2 linked regions of the Oreochromis niloticus genome follow. The protein of the gene in region 1 binds, or shares a complex with, the protein of each later gene. Links are inferred from orthologs where the notes say so. Each region holds a gene or a part of one and is shown in the gene's direction. Other genes may lie near its edges. The genes, in order: bop1 and pes.

What was found.
Region 2: bop1 (region 1) and pes share a complex: the UniProt entries of both Homo sapiens proteins name them as parts of the peBoW complex. The link is inferred for Oreochromis niloticus from reciprocal best matches to the Homo sapiens genes BOP1 and PES1.

The regions. Positions count from the first base shown.
Region 1 is NC_031985.2:36,130,148-36,139,404, reverse strand, and holds the start of bop1 (ribosome biogenesis protein bop1), read left to right. Parts: upstream 1-5,454; 5' UTR 5,455-5,566; coding exon 5,567-5,632; intron 5,633-6,276; coding exon 6,277-6,432; intron 6,433-6,546; coding exon 6,547-6,624; intron 6,625-8,462; coding exon 8,463-8,617; intron 8,618-8,696; coding exon 8,697-8,814; intron 8,815-8,979; coding exon 8,980-9,081; intron 9,082-9,161; coding exon 9,162-9,257. Other genes in the region: lrp12 (low-density lipoprotein receptor-related protein 12), read right to left, coding at 257-504, 593-795, 928-1,063, 1,159-1,215, 3,439-3,493. UniProt on the Homo sapiens protein: Component of the PeBoW complex, which is required for maturation of 28S and 5.8S ribosomal RNAs and formation of the 60S ribosome.
Region 2 is NC_031977.2:17,856,928-17,866,187, reverse strand, and holds the start of pes (pescadillo), read left to right. Parts: upstream 1-5,571; 5' UTR 5,572-5,739; coding exon 5,740-5,763; intron 5,764-5,948; coding exon 5,949-6,028; intron 6,029-7,387; coding exon 7,388-7,541; intron 7,542-7,707; coding exon 7,708-7,817; intron 7,818-8,075; coding exon 8,076-8,247; intron 8,248-8,339; coding exon 8,340-8,429; intron 8,430-8,759; coding exon 8,760-8,876; intron 8,877-8,968; coding exon 8,969-9,046; intron 9,047-9,260. Other genes in the region: p2rx2 (P2X purinoceptor 2), read right to left, coding at 1,027-1,123, 1,211-1,286, 1,368-1,439, 1,521-1,656, 2,190-2,356. UniProt on the Homo sapiens protein: Component of the PeBoW complex, which is required for maturation of 28S and 5.8S ribosomal RNAs and formation of the 60S ribosome.

The DNA.
Region 1 (9,257 bases):
AGCTCAAGTTACAGATAGCAGAGCAGCACAGGCTGAGTCAGCAGAACTCTGGCAGATCTCTTTGTGGTGATTAGCCCACATGTGGTGTGAGTGGTGAACCCAAGGATGTGCATCGGGCGAATGGCAGGAGTACCGGTTCAGTACTCTGGCTGCCTGTTATTGTTTGACACATTAATGTAATTCACATAAACAGCAGCGGCAAGTGGGCGAGGCACCATTTGAGCAGTTGCAATGGTTCACCTAGGTGGCATGTTACCTGGCAGTCGATGCTACCGTCGCAGCGCAGGCTGTGGGGCAAGCAGGTGTAGATGCGGGTGTAGCGAGACAGGCAGGGGAACTGGTTCAGGCTGCAGGGCTGGAAGGAGAATGGCGAGTCCACACACATCTCTTCATCTGAATTGTCACCGCATTCGTCCATGGAGTTACAGCGCCACCAGTCTGGGATGCACTTCCCATTTGAGCAGTGGAACTGGTCCACATCACAGCTGGATGCCAGCGGCTTACCTGCAAACACAACAAATCTTACTTGTTTCCCATCCAGGAATAGCCTCTACTCCAGTTACATCACCAATACCACATCCCGTTTCCTCACCGCTGATGTATGACAGTCTGAAGCCTTTTCCCGTCAGGCTGTCATCCGAGTGGAAGTGGATCCACAAATGGTCCTGAGAGGAGATGTAGGGTGGTGGCAAGGAGGAGCCACAAACCCGGAGTCCATCCAGGTTCCTGTAGCTGCTGATGGACATCCAGTCTGAGGTGCAGCGATGGGAACCCTGTAGGTCAAAGTCCTGGAAGCTGCAAAGACAGAACAGGGAGGGCATCATGAGAGCAAAGATGGGGTTAAAATGAGGATTTGGTTGTTGCTTTTTACTCTGTGACCTGATGTGGATGTGGCAGGTGTAACTATGGAGACAGTAAGTGCAGTACCTGATGGTGATGGCATCTCCAGGTCGTGCCCTGATATTCCAGCTGCAGTTCATTCGGGCTGGATACTGGAAGGGCCATCCGGGGCTGGTGATTATACCGCTGGATGCCCGCAGGAGCTCTGCCACGTCACTGCAGGCTGGGGGGCAGGGTCGGACTGTTAGTGTGACACTGTGTGTTTGTGGGTGTGTGTGTGCCATTAGTGCTGCTCTGATGTCATGAATGTGACCTCACCATTAGAAATCCCTGACACATAGACATTTTCATTCCTCTGAGAGGCAGAAAAGCATCCTGGGGAAAAAAAACACAACAACACGTGGTTAGAAGTGATTTCATATAATAATAATAATGTAATAATGTATACTTTATTGATCCCCGTGGAGAATTTCCTCTCATCATTTAACCCATTCACTCAGTGAAGCAGTGGGCAGCCACTGGCTGCCCGGTACGCAGTGTGTAGGGACGGTACCTTGCTCAGGGGTACCTCAGGGTAGCTGTTCAGTCGATTCGAACCCTCGACCTTCTGATCATGGGGCCACCACTCTACCTACTGAGCTATCCCAGCTATATTGATAACAGGGTGACATACAGCTGATGAACAGCTGGATAATGCTGTTCCTTAGTCTGTTAATTTTTGTCTTTATGGATCTGAAATGTCTGCCTGAAGGTAGATGTTGAAACAGTACATGACCAGAGTGCGATGGGTCTTGAAGGAATTTGTTAATCTTCCTGAGAAAAGAGGAGGAGAGGACATCTGACTATCCGCTAGGCAACCTGTACAACTCTGCGTAATGCTCTCTTCTGTGCTCCTGTGCAGCTGGAAAACCATGCACAGAGACAGTATGCCAGGTGATCAGGCTGATTCATGAGCCGCTTATTTGTACATGTTTAGATCATGGACTCAGATTATCCCCACCCTTTTTATAAAAATGGCTTGACAGTGTGATGAAAACGCTTGCCTCTGTCCCCCTTGAAGGTCAGATAAGGACTTTTGCAATCAGTTTACAATTATATTATGAAGCTTTGAGAGTTTTTGCTGCAGCCATCTTGCTGTTTTAAAACCACATCTGAAGAGTGAGAGCTGGAGCTCACTGTGAAACTGCCGCATCATTGGCTAATGACCTGCCAATCAGTCATTAGCATATCCTTAGTAATCAGGACTTCATATTTAAATCACTCAAACAAGTGACTGAGCCCCTAAACTAATCGGGAACATCTTTACGGAGGTCAGAGGTCAGGTTTCACACAGACTTGTATAGAACTACAGGTAATTGGCCTTGGTGACCATTAGAAAAAAGAATGCATGTTTTGCTTTTCACATACACAAGCTTGGGCCATCGTTTATCCTGTCTGTGGTCTCAACACAGTGTTCTACATCCAGCAAGTTCTTGTTAAATGTTACATGTAAAAAAGACATAAAGTTAAACAGGATGGATAAAATGTTGAAGGAAGATAGCAGATGATACTTAATGGGAGGACTCTATTTTGAAAATTTGGCATCTTAAAGAATGCTCAATCTTGCAGGGTCAAATAGCTGGCCAATGCTCAACATTGTTAATTTTCAAAAAATGATAATCAAATGTTACAAGTTTGACCACCAGGGGTGCTGTTATGCCAGTTTTAGTGTAGTTGTGTCATAAAGCAGTCTAAGGTCAAGTGTTGCAGTGGTTACAGCTGTTACAGGAAGAAGGATCAGACTTCCTGTCCTTTCTGTGGTATCTGTTCTCCTACAGACTAAAGAAAAGCTTGCTGGTCAACTGGTGATTCTTATTGGTGGTAAGTGCTAGCCCTGTGACGGACAGGGAACCTAGTCAGGTGTACCAGCCTGTCATTCTGACTCCAGCCCAAAGTGGTTAAGAGAAGGTGGTCCCTGTTAAGATACTTGTGAAGCCCTGATCACTTACATAGACCGTTTCATTATCATGATTGGTATTATTACTGAACCATGCTCAACATCTTCAAGCTTTAATAGAAACTGATTGATATCTGCCAACTGCTATGCTTACTACACAGAAGAAATGAAGAATGACTGTAGTGACACCTGTCCATTGATCACAGCAGACCAAATGTAAAGTAATCTGTAAGAGCCATTTCCAGCTGTTCTGAGCCACCACTAGATGTTCTGTCCTTCCACATCTGCCTCTCCATTGTACTTCCTCTTTCTCTACTGGTGGATTCAGAGCAGACTGGATGGTGCAGTAAGATCTGTACTGTGAAATATTACAGATTTAGGTCCAGGTTTTTGGGACATAAAATCTTGGTGATAATAAGTGCCCACAATCACTTCTTGCCACATGTCCATGTTAAACATTAAATTAAGTAACATTAGCTTGTGATACTCTGTCCTTAAATGGTTACAGGTGTACAGCTCTGCCCTCCTGCAATCTTCCAGAACCACTTTATTCAAGAGAAAGTAAGTTGTCAGGAAGGGGGAAGTCTTAAAGAGACCGGACCCGGCGTCATCAGAACAAAACACAAGTGTACACACTTGAAAACAGGTCAGTCTGCACTCACCTGTGAGGAGGAGGAGGCAAACCACACCCTGCCTGCAGTCTGTTTTGAGGGCCATGATAACCCTGATGTTCTGATGAAGATAATGGTGAAGAGTCCAAGGTCACAGAGCTGAGCGCTGCATGTCAGCTGTTAGCAGACCTCGGCTCCGAACCGAGCGGCTACCGAGGATAACGGAGCTCCCCGATAAACCCGGCATTCAATTAACACAGACGCGAGCCGCTGAACGTGACGTTAACGCGGAATCGAGCTGTGCGGGGGGTACGCAGCGGGACATACTGCGAAGAACCTCGGTTAGCTCGGAAACAAAGACCCGCTAGCTGCCGACTAACAGGCTGACGCTAAGAACACCGGCCCGTTAGCTTCAACATGCTAACGGGACAGAGTCATCCGACCCAGAGGGGGGGGGGGCGAACCGGGTCAATCCGAGCTCACGGGACCTTCACCGAGTCAGCAGCACTACTGTCGATCTGATAGAAGTCGTGAGCGCATTTCCGTGCGAAGCTGTTAGGTTTTAGCTTCCGTCGAGCCGAACAACAACAACAGACCGCAGAGAGAATCCCCGCCCCTTTGACAGTGGCGTCACTAACATGGCCCCGCCGTTTTTGTCATTTGTTCGTTTATGTGAACTTCCTGTTTCCTGAAGATGTCAAGGCACTTCATTAATCACAGAGCCGAACTTCCTTCAAATATTCACTACATCTATGTAGTGAACATATGGCCGTGTGTTTAGTTGAACCGGTTCTTCTAAAGCGCTTTTCTACTGCACTTGAGCACTCAATATGCCTCATACAGCAACTCATAAGCTTTACATGCTTAAGTGCTTTCTATCTAACATATCTGCATGTGTGTCAGTAACTGAGTTAGTGTGTGTGTGTGTGTGTGTGTGTGTGAGAGAGAGAGAGAGAGAGAGAGAGAGAGAGAGATTTGTCACTAACAGATGCAGTATTTGCAGAACAGAACATCTGTTGTCTGTGAACCCTCAGAGGTGCTGCAGCACTCACCTCCCCAAACACACTCACACACACACACCCTTTGCTACCCACTTTGTGCTGGACCTGCAGCCTGCAGCTGGAAGCAGTTTTTTCTAACAACTCTGAGATTTTTAATCCTCAGCTGAAACTAGCTTTTCTGTTCCACGCAGAGATCCACCTTCAGCTCTGTGAACCTGACCTGCTCTCTGGCAGCTGTTCCCTCAGACTCCTCACCTCCTGCTGCACCTGGACCAGCTAACTGACCCTGTGACTGATTTCCTCAATCATGAAATCAGAGCTCAGAGTGGAGAGAATTCATCTGCTCGAGTTTCACGAACAATAAAAAACACAGATGTTAGTTTGTTACACAAGAGCTTTAATAATGAATCAGTCATCAATATATTAGGACAGGGACCACGACTCCATCAGTGATTGATTAGCAGCTCAGATTCAAATCTCCATTCTCCATCTTTGTAGCTGAGAGACTGAGTGGACAGTCTGATTGTAATCTGATCAGGAAATTAGAACATTTCATATGAAATAAAATCACACACACAGACACTCAGGTTCATGTGCAGACTCATGTTATGGGATTTATTATATGAAAAGTGGAGCTGTACAAGAATTGAAGTACCCCTGATGGAAGGATGCGGGATGCAGGATACGGTCTCAGCGGATTTTCTTCCTGTGTGAAGACAGAGTGAAGTGAGGGCCTTAGCCTTTGATTTCAGCAACCGTTAACTAATGTAAACATGAAGAAACGCTTCAGAGATTGTCAGCTCAGATTTATTGTGTTTTGGATGACTGCATATCCTGGTTTAAAAGCTTTGACTTACTGACATATTAACACCTGGTTGGTCCATGGGCTTGATCAGTCACTGAGCTTTACTCGCTTTTAAATGACTTCATGTTCACATTGAGATTTTTTTTTTTTTACTTCCGGTTAGTATAAACATGATTTCTTTGTCTTTATTTTCTTTCCGTTGCGGATTTTCTTTCGGCAGAGGTCCTGTCACTGTAACTATGACGTTCTGCCAGAAGTTCAAGGCGTCATCAGCAGGCCCCGCCTTCAACCTGTGACGCGTGACCTTTAACCTTCGGTTTCACGTGGTTGAATCGAGGAGGACAGAAACGCGTGGAGCGAGCGGAGAGGAGAGATGAAGAAAGCAGGGGAGAAAACTGCGTTGAAGAGGAGTAAAGAAGAGGAAGAGGAACAGAACCAGGTGAGCCACACACACAGAGGAGGAAAGTGATGAAGATCTGGTAACGTGCTAGTAACGAGCTAGCATGCTAATACGGGGCAGGCTGCTGTTTAGCCCTCAGAGCAGACACGGAGCGAGACCTGAACCATGAGACCGGACCGGGGCGTTGCTGCTTCTAAAATAAACACAGAACCATCCTCTGTGCACATGTGTGATGTCAGCCTCGGGTTAGGGCTCTATTATAATGTCGGAGTTTTAAAAGGAAGACCTCCTCAACTTAGATTTTAACTCGCATTGTCGGAGCAACCTCACCGACCCAGAGCTAACGATCCAACATGGAAGCAGTGACGTAAATGGCAGCAAAACTGTAACGGAACGAGCACTGTAGCAGGTAGTGTGTCAGGGTACATGTGTACGGTTAGTGTTGCACTGAGTGACGTCAATCCTGAGCAGAGTACAGAAGGTTTTCCTGATTTTTCATGTTTTGCTTTTAGTTGCTGGTTGTTTGATTTAAGTGTGTGTGTGATCACTCACAGATTGCACAGGCAATTAGCTTGTGCTAATGATTTGTAGGTTTTATTTTTCTTATTTTTAATTACACTCACAGCCAAAAACTGATGTTTTTTTTCAATTGTGTCTCTGTAATTCTGGGTTTTCCTTCTCAGATCTTCAACTTTAACAGGAAACCTGCTGATGAAGATAAGGATGATGATTTATCAGATAGCGAGGACAGTGTCTACTCAGGCCTGGAGGATTCTGGGAGTGACGCTGAGGGGGAAGAGGGATCCGAGGAGGAGGAGGAGGATGATGATGATGACAAGGTACAGTGTCAGCAGCTAAGTTTTAACTGTATTTGTCTGACTGCTGATTGGTTGCTGTTAAGTGTCCTCAGTGTTCTGCTGCAGAACATCACCTGAACTTTGTTCCATCTGTAGATGAAGGAAAGAACGGAGGAAGAAGTGAGTGAAGAAAAGAAGGAAGATGAGTATGAACATGACTCTTCAGATGAAGAGGTGATCAAAACTTATTCATGTGTATGCTTGTCATTACTTTTCTTATGCCTGTGTCTGGTGTATTGTATGCAATTTTAGCCACATGCACACTAATAAAAAGCTGGGAGATTTTTGCTCCTGGTCCTTGCTCTTTTGTGTGTGTGTGTGTGTGTGTGTGTGTGTGTGTGTGTGTGTGTGTGTGTGTTTGCATGTGGGGGTGGATCGATGGACACATAATTGGCCAGTCTCTGGCCAGAATTTGCTGCAGTCTGTGTGTGGTTATTGAGTCAGTGATTATGAGTCTCTCACTGATCGATGGATATACTGCAATGAAAATGCAGCTGACGGTATCTTTGATGCTTAGTAGGTCAGTGCACCAGGTTCTGATGTTTGGTTTATGATGAGAGCTCACTTAAGAAACCATTCCACCTTAAACCTTTCGGTAGCTGCTTACCTTCAGTGTTGTAGACTCATGTCTATATGCAACAGATCCTGGGTGAAGCTCTGGAGTTCTCTGTTTCATGTTGACCTTTTATTAGCCTGAAAAAGCTGTGATGAAATGACATGAAAACTAGTTCATGCATTTATTATTTCTAGGTTGGACTACTGTAATTTGTGATTACTAGGATGTCCTAAAAACTCCCTGAAAAGCCTTCAATCGATCCAAAATGCTACAGTGAGAGAACTTACAAGGACTAAAAAGAGAGAGTATATTTCTCCTGTACTAGCTTCTCTTCATTGGCTCCTGTTAAATCCATATTCAAATTTAAAATCCGGCTTCTGACGTACAAGTTCTTGAATAATCAGGCCCCATCTTATCTTAATGACCTTATAGTGTACCATATCACCCCATTAGAGCACTTTGTTGTCAGACTACAGTCTTACTTGTGTTTCCTAGAGTATTTAAAAGTAGAATGGAAGACATAGCCTTAAGCTTTCCGGCCCCTCCTCTATAGAACCAGTTATCAGTTTGCATGCGGGAGACAGACACTATCTCTACTCTTAAGATTAGGCTTAAAACTTTCCTTTTTGCTAAAGCATATAGTTAGGGCTGGATCAGGTGATCCTGAATCCTTCCTTAGTTATGTTGCAATAGGTGTAGACTGCTGGGGGATTCCCATTGTTTCTTTTTTTTAGTCAACTTTTTCACTCACTTTGTGTTTATACACCCCTTTGCATTTAATTATTATTTATTAAATGCTGCGTAGTTCTGCTGGAGTTTTCTTCCTGTTAAAAGGGAGGTTTTCCTTCCCACTGTTTTCACAGCGGTTGCTCATAGGGGTATTGTTGCGGTTTTCTTTTCTTTTTTGTTTTTGTTGGGTCTTTACCTTACAATATAAAGCACCTTGAGGCAACTGTTGTTGTGATTTGGTTCTACATAAATAAAATTGCATTCAGTTGTGGGGAAAAAGGTGATTTCAGGCCTGCTGCTCTCACTGCAGTTATTATGAAGGTCTTTCAGCACTGAGATTGGAAGCATCTGGCTCACATCGCTCTAGACCCTCATCAGTGTTGTGTGTCATGCATCTGGAGTATAAAGTGAACCTCACGCACTAAAGCACACTTTAAAGATGGATCCACCCCGTTCTTATGGACTACACTGCTTTTATATGTCTGATCTGTTCCTTTGGAATTTTGCTTCATGTTATGCTGTGTTGTGTGTTGCTGGATGTGCCTTGTGATATATGTGAGCATAACTAAGACAAACCCCTGTCAACTGTCCTGTTAAAGTGGGTACAATACAACATGTTTTGTACAGGATACTTGTTCCTTTACACATGTTCTGATTGGTGCATTGGCTTCTTTTATGTTCCCCTCTCCATCCTGTGGTGGTTTCTCATGCTCACATTGTCCTTCAGGATATCAGGAACACAGTGGGGAACATTCCTGTTGAGTGGTACAAAGATTTCCCTCACATTGGGTACAATCTGGATGGGAAAAAAATCTACAAGCCAATAAGGAACAAGGATGAGCTTGATGACTTCTTGGATAAGATGGAGAACCCAGAGTACTGGTGAGCGGTTAGCATGATGCTAACTTCTTCATAGGTTTGATAGGGAATGCTGATGAAGCTAACAGCTTGCTGTCTGCAGGAGAACAGTGCATGACAAGCAGACAGGAAGTGACATTGTGCTGTCCGATGATCAGGTGGAGCTGGTGAACCGTCTGCAGAGAGGACAGTTTGGAGACGTCAACTTCAATGAGTATGAGGTATGCCCTCCTAGAGTGACACCGGGGTTCCGTTCACTAGCCTTGAGTTTACCTGCTTAATCCATCCTTTAATAGCCACATGTCCCAGACCATCTAGCAAGAAGTGAGCGTGGCTTAAAAATGTAGAACACACTGGTTACCTGTCTCTTTACACCTCTTCCGCAGCCAATGGTAGAATTCTTCAGTAGCGACGTGATGATTCATCCCATCACCAACAGACCGGCAGACAAACGCAGCTTTATCCCCTCGCTCACAGAGAAGGAGAAGGTAATGCACCTGACTCACCTGGCTTACCTGGCTGCTCTCAGCTGTAACTGTAACTCTGTAACACACCTGTCTGACTGCAGGTGTCCAAACTGGTCCATGCCATAAAAATGGGTTGGCTCAAACCCCGGCGGGTAGAGGATGATGGCAGGGGGCGGTATTACGACTTGTGGGCCAGC
Region 2 (9,260 bases), on another chromosome or scaffold:
AAACAGAAATCAATGCTTTTTCTTTTTCTTTTAGTCGCTCCCTTTAGAGATCACCACAGCAGACTTTCTGGCCCCATCTCAACTTCCCTATCTCAAAACTGCTGTATGCTGTATGTACTCATTTCTAATATTGCACATCCTGGTCAATTTAAATGAAAATCTTAACATTTTCAGCTCTGCCACCTGGCTTTTTGTCAAAATCATACATTAAACCAAATCTCTTGTAAATTTTACCTTTCACTCTTGCTGCTATCATAGTCACAAATCACCTCTAACACCCTCCGCCCTGCCTGCACTCTCTTCTTCGCCTCTCTTGTGCACTGTGGATTTAGATGTTTGAACCCAGGTTTTTAAACTCATCTTGCTTCACTACCTCTCCACCTTGCAGCTTCACTGTTACATCTGCCTCCCTCATTCACACACGCATTCTGTTTGCTTCCACTGACTTTCATTCCTCTTCTCTTCAGAAGATACCTCCACCTCTCCAGGCTCTTTTCCACCTGCTGCCTACTCTGAGCGCAGATCACAGTGCCATCTGTGAACCTGATAGTCCACAGAGACTCGTGCCTGACCTTATCTGTCGGTCTGCCCACCACTGCAAACAAGAAAGGGCTCAGAGCCAATCCCTGATGTAATCCCACCCCCTTTGAAAACATCTGTCACTCCTACCACACACCTCACCGCTGTTTTTCTATCATCCTACATATTCTTCACCGCCCTCTCAATTCCTAAAGACTACCTAAAGAAATTACAAGAAAGCTTGGCTGAGTGTGTTCACACTAAATATTGACTTTCAAGCTTGTTAGAACTGTACCATTTTGGTTTTGTTTTGTATCTTTCATTTCCATGTATGTTTACACGTTTTAATAAATCGCTCCACCAATTTTTATTTTATTTCATGTTAGTTTCCCATGTTTTGGGATATTTAGGCTCAGTTTGAGTCTGTTCAGAACTTGTATGGATTTTTAGAAGGATGCATATAAACCTGACATGATGCTGATGGTGATTCTGTAACGCCCATCTTACCGTACTACAGCGTATTCCTCAATCGGACACCAGGTTTGTATCTCACAGGTTTTAAAGGTGTGGTTGTAGTACTGAACACATCTGCCCGTCCTTCTGCCTGTAGGAGAGTGTTTCGAAACAAGGGGTGACAAATACAAACCAAAAAAGCCACGAAGAAAAATTAGATAAGAAGTGAAAACGTTACCGTGGCCATTGAAGTTGACTTCCCCTTCGACGCAGTCAGAATCGGTGGTGCAGTTGGCATCGGCAACATTGAAATGCTAAAGTGAATAGAGACAGATGACAGTGATGGGAGGAAAAAGGTGTCTTTGTTACTCAGTAGATTTTAGATGACTTCTCACCTCAGCACAGGTGTCTTGTCTCTGATTGAACGTGAATTCTCGTCTCAGTATTGTGCTAATCACATCGCCACCCTAAACAAAAAGGGACAAAAAAGACTTAGTGTGGTTAACTCAAGCATGAGCTATGCTGCACAAGTTTAATGAAGAAATCACCTCTGAGGGTCGGGCATACTCCACAGTGTCCAGGATCTCATCTCCATGAATTGCTGAGCCTTTCATGAGAGTGTAAACAGAGCTCTCTGGACGGGTTTCACTCTCTTGGTATGCTTTCTGACTTATAAAGACATACCTTCAGGATGATAGAAGAGACAGAGGTAATATCACATTTTCTACCATGATGTCAATTTTTATTGGCGGTGTCATGTTACCCTGGATCTGCTCAGCCCTCTTTGCTGAAGACAAAAAAGGTGATGATGTACTTTCAGATGCTCACTTCAGAGCATTTAGTTTATTTCAAATCTGAAACACTTTACATCTGTTCTCCTTGGATAGCATTTAAATCTCTGATAATATAGAGACTGGATGAGTCACACTCAGTTGGATAGTTGAATTTTATGCTGTTAATTGCAAATGGGATGCATTTCCTCCCCACAAAACTGCACTGCATTAGTTAAAATTTAAAGCCGTAGTGTATTTATTTCATCTGCATGAATATTATTCATTTAAAAAATGCTTTTAATTTTACTGTAATTAAATTTAAAAGAAAACACATTCAGACCAACAGATCTAACAGAAAAAATGTAGAAAAGACAAAATAAACCTGAATTTCATACATTGTCCACACACCCAGTCATTAGACATGCAAATGTAAGTGAAGCTTACCATATGAAATAAGTGATCACAAGAAACTGAACACTCCTGTAAATCACGCCAAGAGTTCTGTTCTTAACCACCATCACCTTGGGGGTCTCATAGTCCCAAAAACCATGAATATACTCCTTCAGGAAGTTATGTAGCCCCATGATGATTTTATGGCATGTTTCCGTCATATCCTCAGATGTTCTTGTGAAGTCTTATGATTGAATCTGTATATTTAGCTTTAAATTTCTGTCATCATGTCTTTTTCTCAGCTCCAGCCTGCATTTCTCTCAAGCATCCCTGGCACCAGTGAGTGAACAAGAGAGTAGGGGGTGGGGTCCTGATGTGGTTGAAGGCAGGATTCATTTTTTATGCCACTCTATTCTGATAAATCAGCTTTATGCCTGGATCAGTTTCTCCCTGTGCAAGACTCTTTTAACTCTCATCTTCTTGTTATTAGTTTTTTATCTTTTCTTTTTACATACTGTCTTACTTTGCACATACATTGTTTTAAATTGTCAAAATTTGCAGATCTATTAATTGCTTGAAATTACTGGTTTTGATCAGAGTGTGTTGGTCTGGATTTTTATGAGCAACGGTCAAACCTGCAGAAAGGTGTGACGAAAAAAGGGATGCCGAAGAAGTACAACAACCTGTCCATACCTGAGGTCTTAGAAACTGCCAAGCAAAGACTCACAGCCTTGGGTAGCTGCTTGAAAAGGTATACCAGAAAGTTCGAAGCCAGGAGAATAAACCATTCAAGGTACTCTCAGTGGCAGGGAAACAATATGAGAACAACAGCCTCACCAATGCTGGAGACCTAGCAGTACTGGAAGACCATGTGCGAGATGCAACTTATAGCAATAATGCTCAGTGGCTAGTGGCTCTAAGAGCAGACCACAGCAACCTCCCTGGATAAGATCCAGTAACCATCACAGCAGTAGGCATCCAAGAAAGGGTCATAAGCATGAAGATTTGGACAGCACCAGGCCTTGACATGATACACAGATACTGACTAAAGAAGCTAACTGCCCTTCATGAATCTCTGAAGCACAAATGAACCACCTGCTAATGGATGAGACACGACGAGAATGGCTAACTGAAGGCCGGACAGTCCTGACTGGTCCTATCCAACTACTAGCCAATAACTTGCTGCAGTACATGGAAGCTTCTGTCAGGCATCATAGCAAAATGAACAGGCACATGGCTCAATACATGAGCAGGGCAGGAATTGGCAGAAAAACTCAGTGGGGGGGAAACAACAGCTACTGGTAGACAGATCAGTAACTGTAAGACCAGACCGACCAACCTATGCACTGCCTGGACTGACTTCAAGAGAGCCTCTGACTCAATGACTTACATGTGGATCCTGGAATGCCTAGAACTGTACAAGTGCTTTTTCTACCCAATCAGAGCGTTCAGAGCGCTTTATACAGCATGCCTCATTCACCCATGCACACCCATTCATACAAGCACTTTTTCTATGCTTAAGTGTTTTCTATCAAACATTTACACTTGAGATGGATGCATTGGAGAGCAACAAGGTGTTAGTATCTTGCCGAAGAATATTTGGCATGTAGTCTGGAGCAGCCAGGGATCAAACCACCAAGCTTCCAATTAGTAGATACTCTACCTTCTGAGCTACAACCACCCCTGTACATCAGGAAGATGCCAACGAATGACCACGTGCTTAGTGAATACCTCAGGCAGCAGAAACATGAGAAATAGAAAGGGCAAGAAGAGGAACCATCATGGAAGGACAGGCCCCCATACAGCATGTACCACCAGCAGATAGAAGAAGTGTCTATTATCAAGAAATCCAACCAATGGCTGAAAAAAGCTGTACTGAAAGACAGCACAGAGGCACAAATCATGGCAGCGCAGGAACAAGCTCTAAGTACAAGATCCATAGAGGCAATGGTGTACCACACCAGGCAAGACCCCAGGTGCAAGCTGTGCAAAGATGTCCCTGAGACACTCCAACACATAACACCAGGGTGCAAGATGCTAGATGGCAGCAAATCCAGGTAGCTGGTATATAGAGAAATATCTGTGCCAAGTATGGCCTGAAAGTCATGAGGTCAAAATGTGATATGCCCTCCATGGTGGTTGATGATGACTGAGCTAAGAGCCTGCCAGTTACAGACAGACAAACTGGTGATGGCTAACCAACTGGACATAGTAGTGTTGGACAAGCAGAGGAAGATGGCCACAGTGAAAGATGTTGCTAGGATAACATTTTCAGGAAGAAGAAACACAAGAAGCTCAAGAAATACCATGGGTTGAGAGAAGAGCTTAAGAAGATGTGGAGGGTGAAGGCAACAGTGGTCCCAGTGGTAATCAGAGCACTCAGGATAGTGACTCCCAAACTGGGCAAGTGGCTTGAGCAGATCCCAAGAATGATATTCTAGATCTCTGTCCAGAAGAGTGTAGTCCTGGGAACAGCAAAGATACTGTACAGGACCCTCAAGCTTCCAGGCCTCTGGTAGGGGACCCAAGCTTGAGGCATAAAGACTGCCTGCAGGGCGAACAGGTACCTTTATTATATATAGTAATATAATAAAAAATAGTGCTGTCACTTATAGTTGTGGTCAGAAGTTTACATACACTCATCCTGGCTATTAATGTGATGGTAATTTTGAGCTTTTAAAGATGAAACAAGAACTTAGTGCACAAGTTTGAATTTATTTTGGATTTTCTCCAATCCTTAAACATAAAAAGCTTAAACATATACACTCGCTTAATTCTTAAATGATGCTGACACTTATATGACCTATGAACTTATTTTTAGTGATAATGACTGGCTACAAGTGGTAGTTTCTCTTTCCGTCATAAAAAGGTGTTTTTTTGTTTGTTTGTTTGTTTGTTTGTTTGTTTGTTTGTTTGTTTGTTTTAAGCGCTTATTGTATTACGGAAGCGTAGAGCTGCCACCCAGGCAAAAGAAAAATAGAAGTATATCACGTTATAACGTGAAAAGTTTATTGTTCTAACAAGATACTTTTCATGTTTGTACAATATACTTTCATGTTTGTACAATATACTTTTGACGTTTGAACAATATAATATGACGTTATTACAATATACATAATTATCACGTTCGTACAATATAAATATCACGTTCGTACAATATAAATATTATATTGTACGAACGTGATAATTATGTATATTGTAATAACGTCATATTATGTTGTTCAAATGCGAAAAGTATCTTGTTAGAACAATAAACTTTTCACGTTATAACGTGATATACTTCTATTTTTCTTTTGCCTGGGTGGCAGCTCTACGCTTCCGTAAAAAGCACACGCCATTGATGAGTGTATGTAAACCTTCCATACAGTGTATGTACGAATGTTTCACGTCCAAAACCCTTTTGCGGCTTTCCTTTGTAAACAGGCAGATCAACGGCCCACCCATGGGTCCTGCTGTTTGGGCCATCTCCTTCGCGCATGTCAAGCCGCACGTGCATTTGCTGCGTGTCGTGTCGGTCGTTGTTGTGTAACATTGCGAATCGTGTACTTTGTGAAAACAACTACAATTGGATAAAACTCTGTGGAGGGTTAGAAACGGTCTCTAAATGGGAGGTCTTCAAAAGAAAAAGGTAGGTGTGGGTGTTCGTGTAATGTCGGGCGTTTTATTACCAAAAGTCTGACTATCCAGTTAGCTAACAGCTAGCTGAAGTTTGTTTTTCTCAAACAGTAGATTCTCCTGGACTCGGGTGAGCTTATGTGCCTTGTTAACACATACTGTTTGTGCTGAATATGAGCATCTTCCTATGTTTTCCAGTTTGAGAGGGGCTCTGCCACCAACTACATCACCAGAAACAGAGCTCGAAAGAAGTTGCAGCTCAGCCTCCCGGACTTCAGGTAACGTTGCAGTTAGCATTTTTACACGTGTGTGTGTGTGTGTGTGTGTGTGTGTGTGTGTGTGTGTGTGTCTGTCTGTCTGTCTGTGTTTTAAATCACGATATATTCATACCCCGACGCCACTATATTAGTTTCTCGTTATTGTATAGTAGCTAACGCTTTCTGGGTGGAAAAAGGTGCTAGGGCCCATTTACAACACAGTCTTTAAAACTCAACTCAGTGGGTTTTCTTTGTTTGTTTGTTGTGAAACTGTGTATTGAACTGTGCTGTGTATTGAACAAGGTAGACATGTGTGCAGAGTCAAACAAAAGTGCATTTCTTTTCGGCTCCTGGCTTTGGAGGTCACAACAGTAGTCCCTAGCATCCTCCTCTTTCACATCAACACTCTGCATGTACTTCGCTACATCCATGAATCTCCTCTGTGGTCTTCCTCTTTTCCACCTGCCAGACATCTGCTCCATCAACATCCTTTGTCCAGTAATCATCCACCGTCCCTCCTCTACACATGTCCAAACCATCCCAGCCTTGTTTCTAACTTTGTCTCTGCTCAATCTTAGCAGTCCCTTTGATGTACTCAATTCTTACATTCCTACTGTAAAGTTGAAAATCTCAGCAGCTCTACCAGCTTGGCCTCCTGTCCAAATTATACTTCACAGCAGGTCTCACTACCATCTTGCAATCCTTAGCTGTCATTCTTGCTGCTATCCGTCTGCCACAAATCACCCCTGACCTTCATTTCCATCTGCCCTGCACTCTCTTCTTAACCTCTCTTGTGCACTGTTGCTTTGGATGGTTGACCCCAGCGTTAAAACTCCTCTTTCACTACTTCTGCTTCTCGCATCTTTGAAAAAAGTGAGTGAAATGCAAAAAGTATTAATGCATCCTCAAAAGTGAAGCAAAGTTTAATTAGCATTTCAGTAAAAACCTTGTTACCTTCAACAAGGAACAATGTATTGACGCCCAAGTTAGTGAGATAAAGTTATGTTAGTAGTTAATAATGGATCTGCACCTAGTGATATTCTTTATGATCAGCACTATATCCATAAATCACATCTGACATATAATGTGCATATATTAATTTAACAAAAAATTCTGAGGTGTCTTAAATTTTTAGTGAATGTGATCAGAATATTTGGCAGTGGCTGGTAATTTCAAAATAAATCCCTGGTTTTGAAAATGTTACTCTCCATGCCAATATTACTAAGATTTTTTTATAAACACCAGATTAGTTTCTGTTTCTGTTACATCACAGCAACTTACTTTTCTCCAAGTTTGTTCCAAATCTCGATTTCCAGTTGCAAGGCTTTCCCAGAAAGGAACCTTGTTGCAGACAAATGATTTCTCTTCTCTGATTTTCAGGCGACTTTGCATTCTCAAAGGCATATATCCTCATGAGCCAAAGCACAAGAAGAAGGTGAACAAAGGCTCTACAGCCCCAAGGACCTTCTACCTGCTCAAGGACATCCGCTTTCTGCTCCATGAGCCAATTGTTGGAAAATTCAGAGAGTACAAGGTATCTTACATAAGAAACCAGTGCCTTAGTGTGCTTTACCTCTACAAAAAGGATATTTAAAACACTTTGTTTTAATCAGTTTTTCCTCATCATGTCTTTGTTTTATAGTTTGATTTAAATTTGGTTGACAGTCTTTTTTTGTACCTGTGTTATTTTCTTTTTATAGATATTTGTGCGTAAGCTTAAGAAGGCTTATGGAAAAACAGAGTGGTCTGCAGTGGAAAGACTGAGAGAGAACAAGCCAACCTATAAATTGGATCACATCATCAAAGAAAGGTGGGGTGGTTATTCTTCACACTGAACATAAGAGGGCACAGTTGATCTTTTTTTCTCTGCCACTGTATGAATTAAATTGAAATTGTAGGGTAACAGTAGGACAGGATCTTTAGTAGTCTGTCAGTAGATTTTTTTTAAAGCTTTAATTGAAATTTAACAGATTTTTTTTTTTTTATTTGAAAGGGAAGATGTTTTTGTTAAAAACACAAAACAAAAACAAAACCTCACAAATATTGTTTGTGCTTCTTTTTTTGGCAGGTATCCAACCTTCATTGATGCCCTCCGTGATATCGACGATGCCCTCTGCATGTGCTTCCTCTTCTCCACTTTTGCTCGAACAGGAAAATGTCATGTGCAGACAATCCAGCTGTGCAAACGGCTCACTGTGGAGTGGATGAACTATGTGATCACATCACGTTCTCTGCGAAAGGTGCAAGTTCACCAGCCTGTTATTGATCTGACTCAGTGAGAGTTGATTGACCTGTGTTCTGTAATGCACTAAATGTTTGTCTACTTTGATAGGTTTTCCTCTCCATCAAGGGAATATATTATCAGGCTGAGGTGATGGGACAGCTCATTACATGGGTGGTGCCATATCAGTTCTCCCATGATGTAAGTGCAGTTTGGCAAATTGCAGTCAACAGGGACAGTGCTAATAATAAGCAGTCACTTTATTACTGTGGGGTTATAACATAGGTTGCCAGGCAAACATCGTAAATAAAAAATTGTCCTTAATGACTTGCCTGCTCATTAAGAATCAGAAATGTGTGGCTCCTATGAACAAGAAAACTGAATTTGCTTATGGCTTTAACTTGTGAGCAGCTTGTGTGTTTTTAAAATTAGAATATACTAAAAAATTATGTTGGAAGTGACTGTGATTGAACTCACACTTGTAAATGTACCTCTGAAACTTGGTCACACTAATATCTGTTTCCCTTTCAGCACCCCGTTGATGTTGATTACAGAGTAATGGCAACATTCACAGAGTTGTACACCACTCTGCTGGGCTTTGTCAATTTCAGGCTCTACAATTCTCTCAACTTGGTCTACCCACCAAAGGTATCATAGACTGTAATATAAAAAGGATTCATTATAAACTGGTGATATGTAAGCAGACCTGCCATCGGTTAATATCGCCTCTCATTTTGCAGCTGGACAGTAATGCAGAATCAGAGCCAAAGGAAGAGAGTGAGGATGACTATGCCATGAATTCTGAAAGTTACTTAGAGGTGAGTCACATTGTTTTAAAAAGTGTAAAAGACCTCTGATGTGTTTTTGTTTGTAGTCCTCATAACATTGAAAGGAGGCTTGTTGGTTATCCAGAGTAACAGAATAAATTCACTTAAACCATCCAGGATAAAACAGCTTTAGATCTTTGTTAAAAGTATAGTACCAGAGAGGACCGAGTTCTCTCTGCCACTGAGCGTTTGAAACTTGGTTTGG